Linked DNA regions of Arabidopsis thaliana. The protein of the gene in region 2 binds, or shares a complex with, the protein of the main gene of each other region. Each region holds a gene or a part of one and is shown on either strand. Other genes may lie near its edges. The genes, in order: AT5G13430, MPPBETA and AT5G25450. A codon is read from its position in the direction of its gene.

What was found.
Region 1: the proteins of MPPBETA (region 2) and AT5G13430 are in contact, whole or in part, in a cryo-EM structure (PDB 8BEP), measured with the Arabidopsis thaliana proteins. Residues at the interface, in NP_186858.1 of Arabidopsis thaliana: Asp134, Met222, Gln223, Val225, Glu226, Val232, Asp235, His236, Ala239, Phe242, Gln243, Tyr244, Thr245, Gly248, Arg249, Thr250, Met328, Ile510; in NP_568288.1 of Arabidopsis thaliana: Ala83 (codon at 123), Val84 (codon at 120), Lys85 (codon at 117), Thr86 (codon at 114), Pro87 (codon at 111), Asn88 (codon at 108), Ser89, Lys90, Ile91, Val92.
Region 3: the proteins of MPPBETA (region 2) and AT5G25450 are in contact, whole or in part, in a cryo-EM structure (PDB 8BEP), measured with the Arabidopsis thaliana proteins. Residues at the interface, in NP_186858.1 of Arabidopsis thaliana: Ser45, Pro46, Pro47, Pro48, Pro49, Tyr54, Asp55, Ala57, Ala58, Ile61, Lys62, Ile65, Lys66, Glu69, Pro81, His82, Lys373, His374, Asp378, Gln381, Arg382, Ile385; in NP_197927.1 of Arabidopsis thaliana: Arg34 (codon at 1,646), Leu54 (codon at 1,586), Pro55 (codon at 1,583), Glu57 (codon at 1,577), Ile58 (codon at 1,574), Ala61 (codon at 1,565), Arg65 (codon at 1,553), Ala85 (codon at 1,213), Val86 (codon at 1,210), Gln87 (codon at 1,207), Thr88 (codon at 1,204), Arg91 (codon at 1,195), Ser92 (codon at 1,192), Tyr93 (codon at 1,189), Asp96 (codon at 1,180), Met97 (codon at 1,177), Leu100 (codon at 1,168), Arg103 (codon at 1,075), Arg108 (codon at 1,060), Leu111 (codon at 1,051), Gly112 (codon at 1,048), Ala113 (codon at 1,045), Leu114 (codon at 1,042), Pro115 (codon at 1,039), Leu116 (codon at 1,036).

What each region holds. Positions count from the first base shown.
Region 1 is NC_003076.8:4,305,864-4,309,613, forward strand, and holds the start of AT5G13430 (Ubiquinol-cytochrome C reductase iron-sulfur subunit), read right to left. Parts: upstream 1,708-3,750; 5' UTR 1,537-1,707; coding exon 1,362-1,536; intron 195-1,361; coding exon 1-194. Other genes in the region: AT5G13440 (Ubiquinol-cytochrome C reductase iron-sulfur subunit), read right to left, coding at 2,568-3,211. UniProt on the Arabidopsis thaliana protein: Component of the ubiquinol-cytochrome c oxidoreductase, a multisubunit transmembrane complex that is part of the mitochondrial electron transport chain which drives oxidative phosphorylation.
Region 2 is NC_003074.8:363,502-367,251, reverse strand, and holds the start of MPPBETA (Insulinase (Peptidase family M16) protein), read right to left. Parts: upstream 1,704-3,750; 5' UTR 1,629-1,703; coding exon 957-1,628; intron 465-956; coding exon 300-464; intron 210-299; coding exon 72-209; intron 1-71. Other genes in the region: AT3G02080 (Ribosomal protein S19e family protein), read left to right, coding at 2,091-2,174, 2,578-2,668, 2,754-2,937, 3,042-3,114. UniProt on the Arabidopsis thaliana protein: Catalytic subunit of the essential mitochondrial processing protease (MPP), which cleaves the mitochondrial sequence off newly imported precursors proteins. Preferentially, cleaves after an arginine at position P2.
Region 3 is NC_003076.8:8,855,112-8,858,861, reverse strand, and holds AT5G25450 (Cytochrome bd ubiquinol oxidase, 14kDa subunit), read right to left. Parts: upstream 1,946-3,750; 5' UTR 1,827-1,945; coding exon 1,733-1,826; intron 1,652-1,732; coding exon 1,494-1,651; coding exon of another isoform or gene 1,476-1,493; exon of another isoform or gene 1,214-1,475; coding exon 1,166-1,213; intron 1,082-1,165; coding exon 1,013-1,081; 3' UTR 386-1,012; downstream 1-385. Other genes in the region: AT5G25440 (Protein kinase superfamily protein), read left to right, coding at 2,140-2,197, 2,289-2,542, 2,668-2,803, 3,159-3,301, 3,384-3,510, 3,607-3,750. UniProt on the Arabidopsis thaliana protein: Component of the ubiquinol-cytochrome c oxidoreductase, a multisubunit transmembrane complex that is part of the mitochondrial electron transport chain which drives oxidative phosphorylation.

The DNA.
Region 1 (3,750 bases), on a different chromosome or scaffold from region 2:
ATAAACAAACCTCCCACCCGACAAGACAAAATAGGCGAATGCACGCTTGCTAGGGTCACCAGGTGGGTAACGCTCATGGTTATGGTCATCATAGACAATCTTTGAGTTAGGCGTTTTGACAGCTTCGACTGTGGCTGGGACTTCTGAACCAAAACCTATCTCATTTCCTTGAGCAAGGACTTGAGAAGAGAAGCCTGAAAATAGCATGAAACATTAATATTTCACATCAAAGGCAAACTTTATACTTGGTCAAGTGTTCTACAAGAATAAGAATAAGCCACAGGACTACCACAATCAAGATGTGACCATTGATGTATAATCTTCTAAGGAAAAACAAAAGTACATAAAACGGATTCCATGAAGTATGAGATCCATCCAAACAATTCAAACCATCGTATCAAACTCGGGGAGTGGAAACTTAAATACGATAATCTCCATAAAAAAAACAAGAGAACAAATTCAATGATCAACATGGAAACAGAAGAACAAAAAATTGGAATCTAGAAGCCAATGTGAATCACACTATGGATAACGCATTCCAATGATTTACAAGCAAGGAGCTTTAGTCATCAACCAAAGAATTACATCTAAACAGGTCAATCCATAATCCATCAATAAACTCAAATGTTCATTTCCTTCTGGACGAAAGAATGAATCAGAGAAGCCAAGTATACCAAATTCATCCAAACAAATCAATAATAACAAATTCAGTGAAACCTTAAATACTAAAACCAACGTAATAAACCAAGAGAAAAAAATATATTGATCAGATGCTGTATATTACAGAAACGCTTAAAACACAACAAAATTTCCAATGCTAAGAACAAACAAAGCTCTTTGGTTAAGAAAACATAAATTTCAGAATGCAAGTTCCTCAGCATGCCTTTAAACAGCTATAAATCCTACAAACATAGTATACAGTTAAAACATCCATGTCCCTAACAATGAAGAACTCAAAAGGATTGATACACAAGATCAAATTTCAAAAACCAAGAAGCCAGTGGTGAATCATACTATGATTAACGCACCGAAAAGAGGAAACTTTCCTAGTAAAACAAAGGATTATCTCAGAACTGAACAATCCACACGAAAGAAGTAATCATCAAATGCAATACAAATCCAGCAAGGAGAAGAATGTAGCCAAATGGTACATCAAGCTCATGGAATTCAAATCAGATGACACGTTTGTTCCCACGGATCATTGCAGATACAATACTAGAAATCTCAATCATTCCCGTGAATCATACAACCAAAAAAAGAAGACCTTTTCAAAAATCAATCAATCAAATAAAACTGCAAAGAACCACCGAAAATGAAAAATCAATGTAGAGAGAGAGGGAAAGGGTTATAAATCGGCAAACCTCTGATAAGGCTACGGTGGTAAGATGAGAGATCTGCAGAGGGGAGGGATCTGGGAGCTGAAGAGGAGTCGCCGCCACCATCGGAAAGGGTATGGTCACGGGAGACGACGAAGGAGGTCGCAGTCGAAGATCTCTGCGAGACAGAGAAAAGCCTCCTCCCTGCTACACGCAGCATCTCTCAGCTCAAATGTGAATCTAGGGTTTCGCTCTAGCTGAACAGAGAAATCCTCAGGTTTGGGACGGCCGATGCAAAACAAAACATAAGAGACTACTTACTAGTAAGTCCCTTAAAAATTGTCTTTGAGAAAAGGTCAATTTGTTTTGTTTTTTTTGGTTTTTGCGTATTACTTGATATTTTTTTACTTCAGGATTTTGATGGCATGGTTTTTTTTCTAATTTTAATTAATAAAATCTTTTGGTTTTACGATATAATTTTTTTGTGTGTGTGTATTTGTAAGATAAATTATTTTATTTGTATAAAAATCGTAATTTTTAATAATAATAATAGGGGGTCTATACTTGGTAAAGGATATATTTTGTTGTTGTAATGTTTAAACAAGATTTCCAACAAAAAGACTGTTTTACATCTGTGTGAACTTTTCAATACTAGAAGAAAGAGCTAGAAGGACATCATCAAAGAAGTAGTCATCGATGAAAACAATCTGAACAAGAAAATTAGGCTAAGATCCACAACCAGAATATGACATCTTTCATCAAAGTAGTAGTCTCGAGGTTCACAATTGGATTTCTCACTATGGAAGAGAAGGTTTATGGCTTAGTTGAGAATTGAAGGTCTTCGAAATGTCGTCTCCAGTAAGAACACGAAAGTTTTATAACACACCTTGAACCTTACCAAGTTTTTGTCTCAATTGTGATAATGGCTACAGACTTTAAGGAAAGGAAACTCTCTTACAAACGATATGTTACAAAATTACAAACATAAGAAAAATAGGGATGATACTATTCAAAACTCTTTTCAAATAATAAACAGAGACTATGAAGTATGAACAATGTATTTTCACCAGATGAGACAGATACTAAGTCATACAATGACAAGTTTGTATTATTCAGCAAAACAAGCCAATTTTTGCTGAGCCCAAAGTGTGAGGAAAGCGAACTTGCACGCTAAAATGCCGGAAAATATAAAAACAAAAACAGATTTAAGATCATCCAGACCATGACACTCGGACTGTTGTGCTTTATTCATTAACCAATGAGTAATTTATTCTCTTCCAAGAAGCTGTAGGTCGGTACTTCCAGGTTGTATGGTGCAGGACCTTTCCTAATTCTTCCAGATATATCGTAATGTGATCCGTGACACGGACAAAACCAACCACCATAATCACCAGCATTAGGCAAGGGGATGCACCCCAAATGAGTGCATACTCCAACCACGATCAACCATTCTGGATTCTTGACTCTAACCGAGTCTTCTTGTGGGTCCCTCAGGGATCCAACATCCACACTATTGGCCAGCTTGATGTCATCTTCTGTTCTTCGCCTGATGAAGACGGGCTTTCCACGCCACTTGACTGTCACGGTAGTTCCTGGTTCTATGCTCCCTAGGTCAACCTCGAGGGATGCAAGGGCAAGGACATCTTTACTTGCAGACATGCTCACAATAAGCTTCAGAACAAGCAGGCGGAGAACAGAGGCATAAACAAACCTTCCACCCGACAAGACAAAATAGGCGAATGCCCGCTTGCTAGGGTCACCAGGTGGGTAACGCTCATGGTTATGGTCGTCATAGACAATCTTTGAGTTAGGTGTTTTGACAGCTTCGACTGTGGCTGGGACTTCCGAACCAAAACCTATCTCATTTCCCTGAGTAATGACTTGAGAAGCAAAACCTGAAAATAGCATGAAACATTAATATTTCACATCAAGGGCAAACTTTATACTTGGTCAAGTGTTCAACAACACCAAGTATTAAGCAAAAATATTTTCAAGAGATAACACAGAAGAAAGGAATAACACTAGCAAACATTTAACATTAATGCATAGAATAACATAAGATTATAAAAACGGATTCCAAGAGATAACAGAAGGTGTCATCCAAACAATTTTCTACCATGATATCAAATTCAGTGAAAACTAAACTAATCTATCTAACGCAAGATCCAAGGAAGGAACTTCAATGATCATAAATGCTTAAAACATAAGAAAACTCCTAAGATAAGATTGCAAACATAGCCCTTTTGGTTAAAGATATGGAATTCCAGATTCGTTTACTGATGCAAGTATCTTATATGATGTGCCCAAAGACGATAAAACATCCATTTCCATAATAATGAATAAACTACATGTCAAAATCGATTATCTCATCAAAAAAGGATTATCTCAAAGCTGGTCAATTCATATCCGATCAATCACTATTCCAGCAAGGAGA
Region 2 (3,750 bases):
AATTTCACGGACTAAAGAATTTAGAAAGATGGAACATTGCATATAACAAAATCATATGGTTGTGTCCTTACCTCAGAACCAGTAAAACTAGCAGGTTCATTGGCAACCAGTTGAGAAGTAGTTGTTGGATCAGACGACAACTTGGTAAATAGCTTCTTCACTTGCTCAACAACTTCCTCATGCTTAACAGCTCCTGCAGCAGCAATCACCTGAAAATGTTTTGGATGAACCAAGATAAGAATCCTAAAAAATTCAATAAGTGATTGTAGGAAATGATAAGAAGTAACCAAAATCTATACCATCCTGGAAGCAGTGTAGTGAGTCTTAATGTAGTTCTGTAGATCCTCTCTGGTGATCGATTTGACGTTCTGAGCAGGTCCCAAAATAGTTCTTCCAAGGGGTGTGTATTGGAATGCAGTGGCATGTAAATGGTCAAGAACCACTTCATCGGTTTGTCCCTCCACCTACGACCAAACCAATTATCAAAAAACTAAAGCTTAATGTGTATTCTATCTTTAACTGATTAAAGAAACAAATAACTCTAACCAACACGTAGAGCAGAGTACCAAGCGCTCTAGTATCTCCCTTCATGCACATTTCCCAACAACAATACGACCAACATATGACTAAGCCAATAAAACCAAAACATGCGAGAGATAATCCAAAAACAGAACAAAGTTTTCATTTTTAGAGCAATGGTTTATATAAACACAATAACATCTCTCTATAGAACATGTGCTTATGCCAATACAACCTTAAAAAAAGGGAAGATAACTTAAGAACATACTAAAGTTTTCATTTTTAGGCAGGCACACGGGAAACTGAAACTAAGGGTATTGATCTAAAAAAACACAAACTACGGTCCATAGTACCACCTCACTAAAAAAAAACGAAAGATAAATCGAGGACAGAACAAAAAGTTTAGTTTTTTAAGTACAGAGATAACAAATACATACCTCTTGCATTTCCCTGAGGATGACATCTCGTTCGCGGTTAATTCTCTGTTCCTCGAACTTAGAATTCTGTAGGATATCAGCCAAGACATCCAAAGCCTGGTTCACATTGGAATCCAAAACCTTAGCATAATAAGTGGTCTGTTCCCTCGATGTATACGCGTTCAGGTGACCACCAATATCTTCGATCTCTTCCTCCAACGCTCTCACTGTACGCCTATCCGTGCCTTTGAATATCATATGCTCCAAAAAATGAGCCGTTCCGTTGGTCTCATCGGACTCAAACCGAGATCCAGCGTCGATCCAGACTCCAACGGTGGCGGTCTTAGCCGAGAGATTTGACTCAGTAGCGACTCGTAGACCATTGGGCAAGGTAGTGACACGAGTCTCCGGAGCTGACAAGATGTGATTGTGGGAAGCGAGGATCGGATGTGGAGATGCGTATTTAAGGAACCTCTTATCAGGATTCTCGAGCTTCTTGATCTTATTTTTTATAATCTCAGCCGCGTGGTCGTATGGCATAAGATGCGGCGGCGGTGGAGATAGAGCCGTCGGAGATGCGGAAGCCGGCACCGAATCGATAGCTGAAAACGAAGAGGAAGATCGTGTGGCTTGAGTGAGGAATAAACGCCTCTGAGATCGGCGAGCTAGGGACAGTAGATTCTTCATCGCCATGGCTGATGATGGCTTCTCTTCGCTCTCTCAATCTCTCTAGGGTTTGATTAAAAAGCCAAAAATGGCAGAGACGACTTGAGATGCGAACTAATAGCCAGTGGTTAAGCGATTATAAAACGACGTCATTTAATGTTACTAATTAAGAACGGTGTCGTTTAGGACATAATACTAGTCAACTGATATAATAAGGCCGTAGTAGGCGCATTATCGTATCAAAGAACATTATTCATACTGGTTAGATAGTAAGGCCGTATGAAGAATTAGGCCCATTAGTGTGGGCTGAGAACGGGTTGGATTTTTTGACCCGGATATGGGGAGAAAACCCTAATCGAAATATCGTGGCCGTATATATAAGTTTTGTTATTGGAGAATAAAAACCCTAGTCTTTGCGGAGAGAGATTCAGCTGCGTTGGGCAAAATCCCAGACGAAGATCAGTGATTAGTCTTTTGATAACTTGAGCCATGGCAACTGGTAAAACTGTGAAAGACGTCTCGCCTCATGACTTCGTCAAGGCTTATGCTTCTCATCTCAAGCGATCTGGCAAGGTTAGTGGATAAAGTCTCTTCTTTTTTGTTTGAGTAGAAATGTTCCAAGCTTTATTTGTATGTACTCGAATAAAGATGGATTAAGCTCAAATTGCAATGATTTCCATTAGTTCATAGATATTTCTGTTGATTGTTGGCATTTCTCTATAATACTTTGAATTGTGTAATGTCTGTTGAATGTATTGAAATTTTGTATATGTTGCTAATATTTATTGAATCACAAGTGTTACTCTTAGTATTTGTTAATAGACAGCTTAAGATTCAAATGCTTGGGATTAATATTGTGATTTGCTTTGTTACGTCTGTTGAATTAATTTACACTAGCAATTACAATAGCTTGAATGTCAAGCTCCACTTTTTACAATTGTTTTGGTTTTCACGAGACCATAATTGTTTGTTTCAGATCGAGCTTCCCACATGGACAGACATTGTGAAGACCGGAAAGTTGAAGGAGCTTGCACCATATGATCCTGATTGGTACTACATCAGAGCTGGTTAGTTCTCTTTCATCCTAGTTTGTCTCTTATTATCTCTATGCGTTTATAAAGTTTTCAATTAGCAAAATGACTTCTTGTGCAGCATCTATGGCAAGGAAGGTTTACCTGAGGGGAGGACTTGGTGTTGGTGCTTTCCGTAGAATCTATGGTGGAAGCAAGAGGAACGGTAGTCGCCCACCTCACTTTTGCAAAAGCAGTGGTGGTATTGCCCGTCACATCCTCCAACAGCTGGAGACAATGAACATTGTTGAGCTCGACACCAAAGGGTAACATTACTACTACTACTACTACTACTACTACTACGTTAGAGGTGTTTCTCTTTAAAAATGTTTTTATGCTAATACTAGTATCACTTTTGTTCTTCTTTCAGAGGAAGAAGGATCACTTCCAGTGGCCAAAGGGATTTGGACCAGGTTGCTGGCCGTATTGCAGTTGAACCTTGAAGATCTTAATGTTCTTTTTTGTTCTTCTTCTACTTTTGAGGCCATTGTGCTTTTAGTGTTTATCTTTACTTTTAAGAATTGTTACCATTTCATTCTCAAGACTTGCGCTCATAATGTTCAAAAATTTATCTTTTTGGCGATGGCTTTGGACATTGAAACTTATGTCTTCAACCGTATTTTTGTGTTCGTCCGATTTAAGGATAATAGGATATGGTTTCTTCATCCCTAAATTGCTAATTTCATCCTTCTTTAGTGCCACTAATCTCACTTTTATGCTTCACTTTTAACCGAAATTTCTTTGAGAGAAGAGAAGCAAAGATTAGATATCTTCATCACATTATATTCTTTGTTGTATTCTCTCCATTCATAGGCAAAGAGATGTCATCTTTCTTCAATATCATAGCTAGCTTTTGGTTTCCTTAGAGATAGCCTCGACCTTTCTTATTCCAAACTAGCAATGATGCTCTCTGTTGCTCTCGGCGGAAGATGTAGCCAGTCCCAACGTACATTGGACTTTGAAGTAGTCCATCCAAAACTCTCATGAATCATGATACTAACATGAAAGTAGACAGTGTTGTAGTTCGTATAACGACATGGTCTGCGGGAGATAAACAGTTCATCTTTCAAATGCACAAG
Region 3 (3,750 bases), on a different chromosome or scaffold from region 2:
TTGCAAAAGTGATTTGTAAGAAATTAACCTCTACGAGAGAGACTGATCACTCATATATGTATGCTTAACACGGCAGCCGAGGTTTGTAGGTTGACCTAGAGTTTCTACGACATAACCTGCATCCAAGCTTGGTCAAGCTCATTGGTTACGGTTCGGATGATAATTGTTGTTCATTGTTTCTGAATACTTTCCAAACGGAAGCTTAGAGCGTTACATTTATAGGAGTAAGCAAGCTAGAAAATTGTATTGAGCGCATTTCTTAGAATTTACTACGAACCTCCTGAATACATATTCTCAGGTAAGTCCTCTCTCAAGCTACAGAATGACCATTAAAATTCATACACTAACCTAAAACTGATTGCACGGTAATACGCATATACAGGGAGATCACACATGGCGGGCGATGTATACAGCTTCGGTGTTATACTATTTGAGATCTTAACTGGTTTGGGAAACCCGTGCATCATCTTAGCAGAGGAAGCAACAGAGAATAGAAAAGAAAACATTGTGGAAATGATCGATCCAGATTTAGAGAATAGCTATCGTGTTGAAGAGGGGATGCGTATGTGCAAGCTCATAAAACTGCCTTGAAAGAGATCCCAAGGAAAGACCATCCATGCAACAAGTGCTAGATAATTTGAATGCTATAGCCCATATTTGAGAGGACAAACTAAGGGTTATAAAGGATTGTGGTTCAGAGGTTACACGCCTCTCTTCAGAGCTCCTATGAGGAACTGTGAAAACATTTCCAAAAGCTAGCTTAAGGGTTTGTGTGCCTTTATGTCTTTATGTAGCATGATTTACTCTCCTCCTACCGGTGTGGGATATTTTACTCATATTTCTGTAATAGCTCAATCAAGCTTACATTACACATCCAATTCAATCTCATAAAATCTTATACATAAGGTTCACATATCCATGCATAACCATACAAAAGCAAATTGTGCGGTATTGAAGCCTAAAGAGTACTAAAACAGTGACCCTACTATAAGCACAAGAGAGACTAACATGCTTAAGGAATGGTTCTTTGGTAGAGAGGTAAAGCTCCCAAAGCCTCTCTCTCAGCTCTCTCCCGCTTCACCTGCACATGAAGTGTCGTGTGTTAGAACTTTGCTATATGATTCTTCTATCACTACAAGATAGATAAAACTGTTTTTGTTCTTACAAGAGCCAACATGTCTTGGAGGTAGCTCCTGAATGGAGTCTGCACTGCCTGTGGAATTACAGAGACAAGGAAAAGAAAAAAAGATTTACATAAGCTTCCTATCTCACAACTAACAAGCACTATCTCAAAAAAAACTTCTTTCATAGACAAGATCTTACAAAGCTTATCAAGTTACAATTATATTACAGAACCAAAACAGGTTTCTGAAAACAGAGTGTTCTTGATCCTAATACAAGTCTTAAGTCAAATCTTGCAAGCTCTATCTACAAACTCCATAGCTATATACCGTTTTAGCTCTGTTGTCACTTACTTAGAGACTAAAACATACCTGAAGATTATCTGGGAGGTATTCATGTTTCATAGAAAGATCCATTGCACGCATAAGACGCTGGTTCCGAGCATCAACAATCTCTCTCGGTAAACGATTAAGAGCTTCTTTAATATCCAAATCATACAAAGGATCATAAAGATCGTCGTATCTAAGACCTAAAAAATCGTAAAATTCCCAAAATCAGCCAGAAGAGAATTAGGGTTTGGTTTCTAGGGTAAGAGAGAAAGAAAGAGTACCGTATCTGCGGAGGCGATTAGAAACAGACTTCATATGCATACGAGCTAAGAAATTCTTCCTGGGATCTACTAGTCTCTGGAGAAACGACGCCATTATCTTCTTCGGAGTAACGTTGAAGATGTGAATTGTGATGAAACCCCTTCGCCGCTATTTGTAATTTAACCCGGGAACGAAGAAGGAAGAAGCATCCAGAGACATCTGTTTAAACGCCGTCGTATGAAACTCTAGCCAAACGGCGTAGTATGTACTCTTATCAAAAAACGGCGTCGTATGACTCACCAAATAAAACGCGTCAACCGTTGACTCTCAAACGCGTTTTCGTTGACTTTGCTCCTCGGTGTGAAAAACTAAAAGTCCTCTCTTCTTCATTGAACTCTAGTGTTAAGATTTAGCAGAGAGTATCCGAATGGGAAATTGTCTCTCAGCTTCGACACTTCCCACCGAACCAAATGCTCCCAAATCAGGTATACATATATATATTTCTCTGCGGATTTAAGTACTTTTGATTTGAATGTTACTATAATGGATATAAGTTTTGTTATAATATATGTATAGTGGAGGAGGGTGTGAAAGTCTTCACGGTGGCAGATCTGAAGAAAGCGACTAATGATTTCGGAAACCAGATGGAACTAGGAGAGAGCTTGGGATACATCAATCCCAAAACGTTATCTCCGGCCAAGAAAGGTGTTGGCATGGCCGTCGCGGTCAAGAAAATTTACTTAGCCAATGAACAAGCTTTTCAAGATTGGCTTGTAAGTAATTATATCATCTCAATCTATAGGAGAACCTTCGGCAAAACCAATAATATTGTTAAGTTTCTTGTTACTTATTTATTCTTCTAAATTTTTTGATGTTTTTGGATGGTAAATGTCTATGTTGCCTACCCCTAGAGATGGGTCAGTGTGTCTTAACATTAGAGATGATATTTTTGTAGGTTGACGTAGAGTTTCTACGACATAACTCTCATCCAAGCTTGGTGAAGCTAATTGGCTACTGTTATGATCGTGATATGTTGTTTATTGTTTCTGAATACTTTCCAAATGGAAGCTTAGGAAGTTACATCAGTAGAGGTAAGGAAGTTAAGTTTATTCATCTCCTTTTCGTCATTATATCTTGTGAGTAGACTCAAAGCAAGAAGAATCTTGCTCGAGCAAGACCCAAAGGTAAGAGCTCTTAATAAGAGCTTTAAAACTAGATCTAAAAATTGAGATAGCTCATTAGAGCTTTATTTAGTGGAAGTGAGGAAAATATACTAATTGAAGAACACCAAGCTAAATGATTCCTAGATAATTTAATATCATAGAGAGGGAATAAAGAGAGTTGCTCAAATTGATTTCTGGAGCTCTCACGAGTTTACGATCTTAACCTTAGATCCAATAGTAATTCATCTTCCTTTTGGATTTAATGGTTTATATAATATCATAGATAGTCGTCCAAAGTCATTGCCGTGGGAGACACGACTTAAGATATCCATAGGAGCGGCTCAGTGTCTTGCCTTCTTGCACTCTAGGAAGCAAGCCGGTCTATACCGCAGATATCTCACTGCTTCGAAAATCCTGCTCGACTCGGTTTGTATTCACCTTGCCTTTTTTGTTTTTTTTCTTGAATACTTGCTCCTTACCTTTAAAGTGACATTTATGGGATATGCAGGACTTCAACGCAAGAGTTTCCTATTTTGGAAAGCCAAAAGTTTCTCTCGATGAATTGGTATACACCATCGGGTTTTCAAATGTAGCACCTAGATATCAATACCCACCTCCCGAATACATACTCTCAGGCAACAATCTTCTGCTTCTTCCTTATATCTTAAAGTTAAAAGTGACCATTAAATTCAAAGAGACTAACCTTAATTGATTGCACTAATCAAATGAAGGGATGTCGAACATGGCGGGCGATGTGTATAGCTTTGGTGTTATACTACTTAAAATGTTAACTGGTTTAGGAAAAGACCTCACAATCTCAGCAAAGCGAGAAATAAAAAATAAAAAGTACAACATTGTGGAGATGATCGATCCAG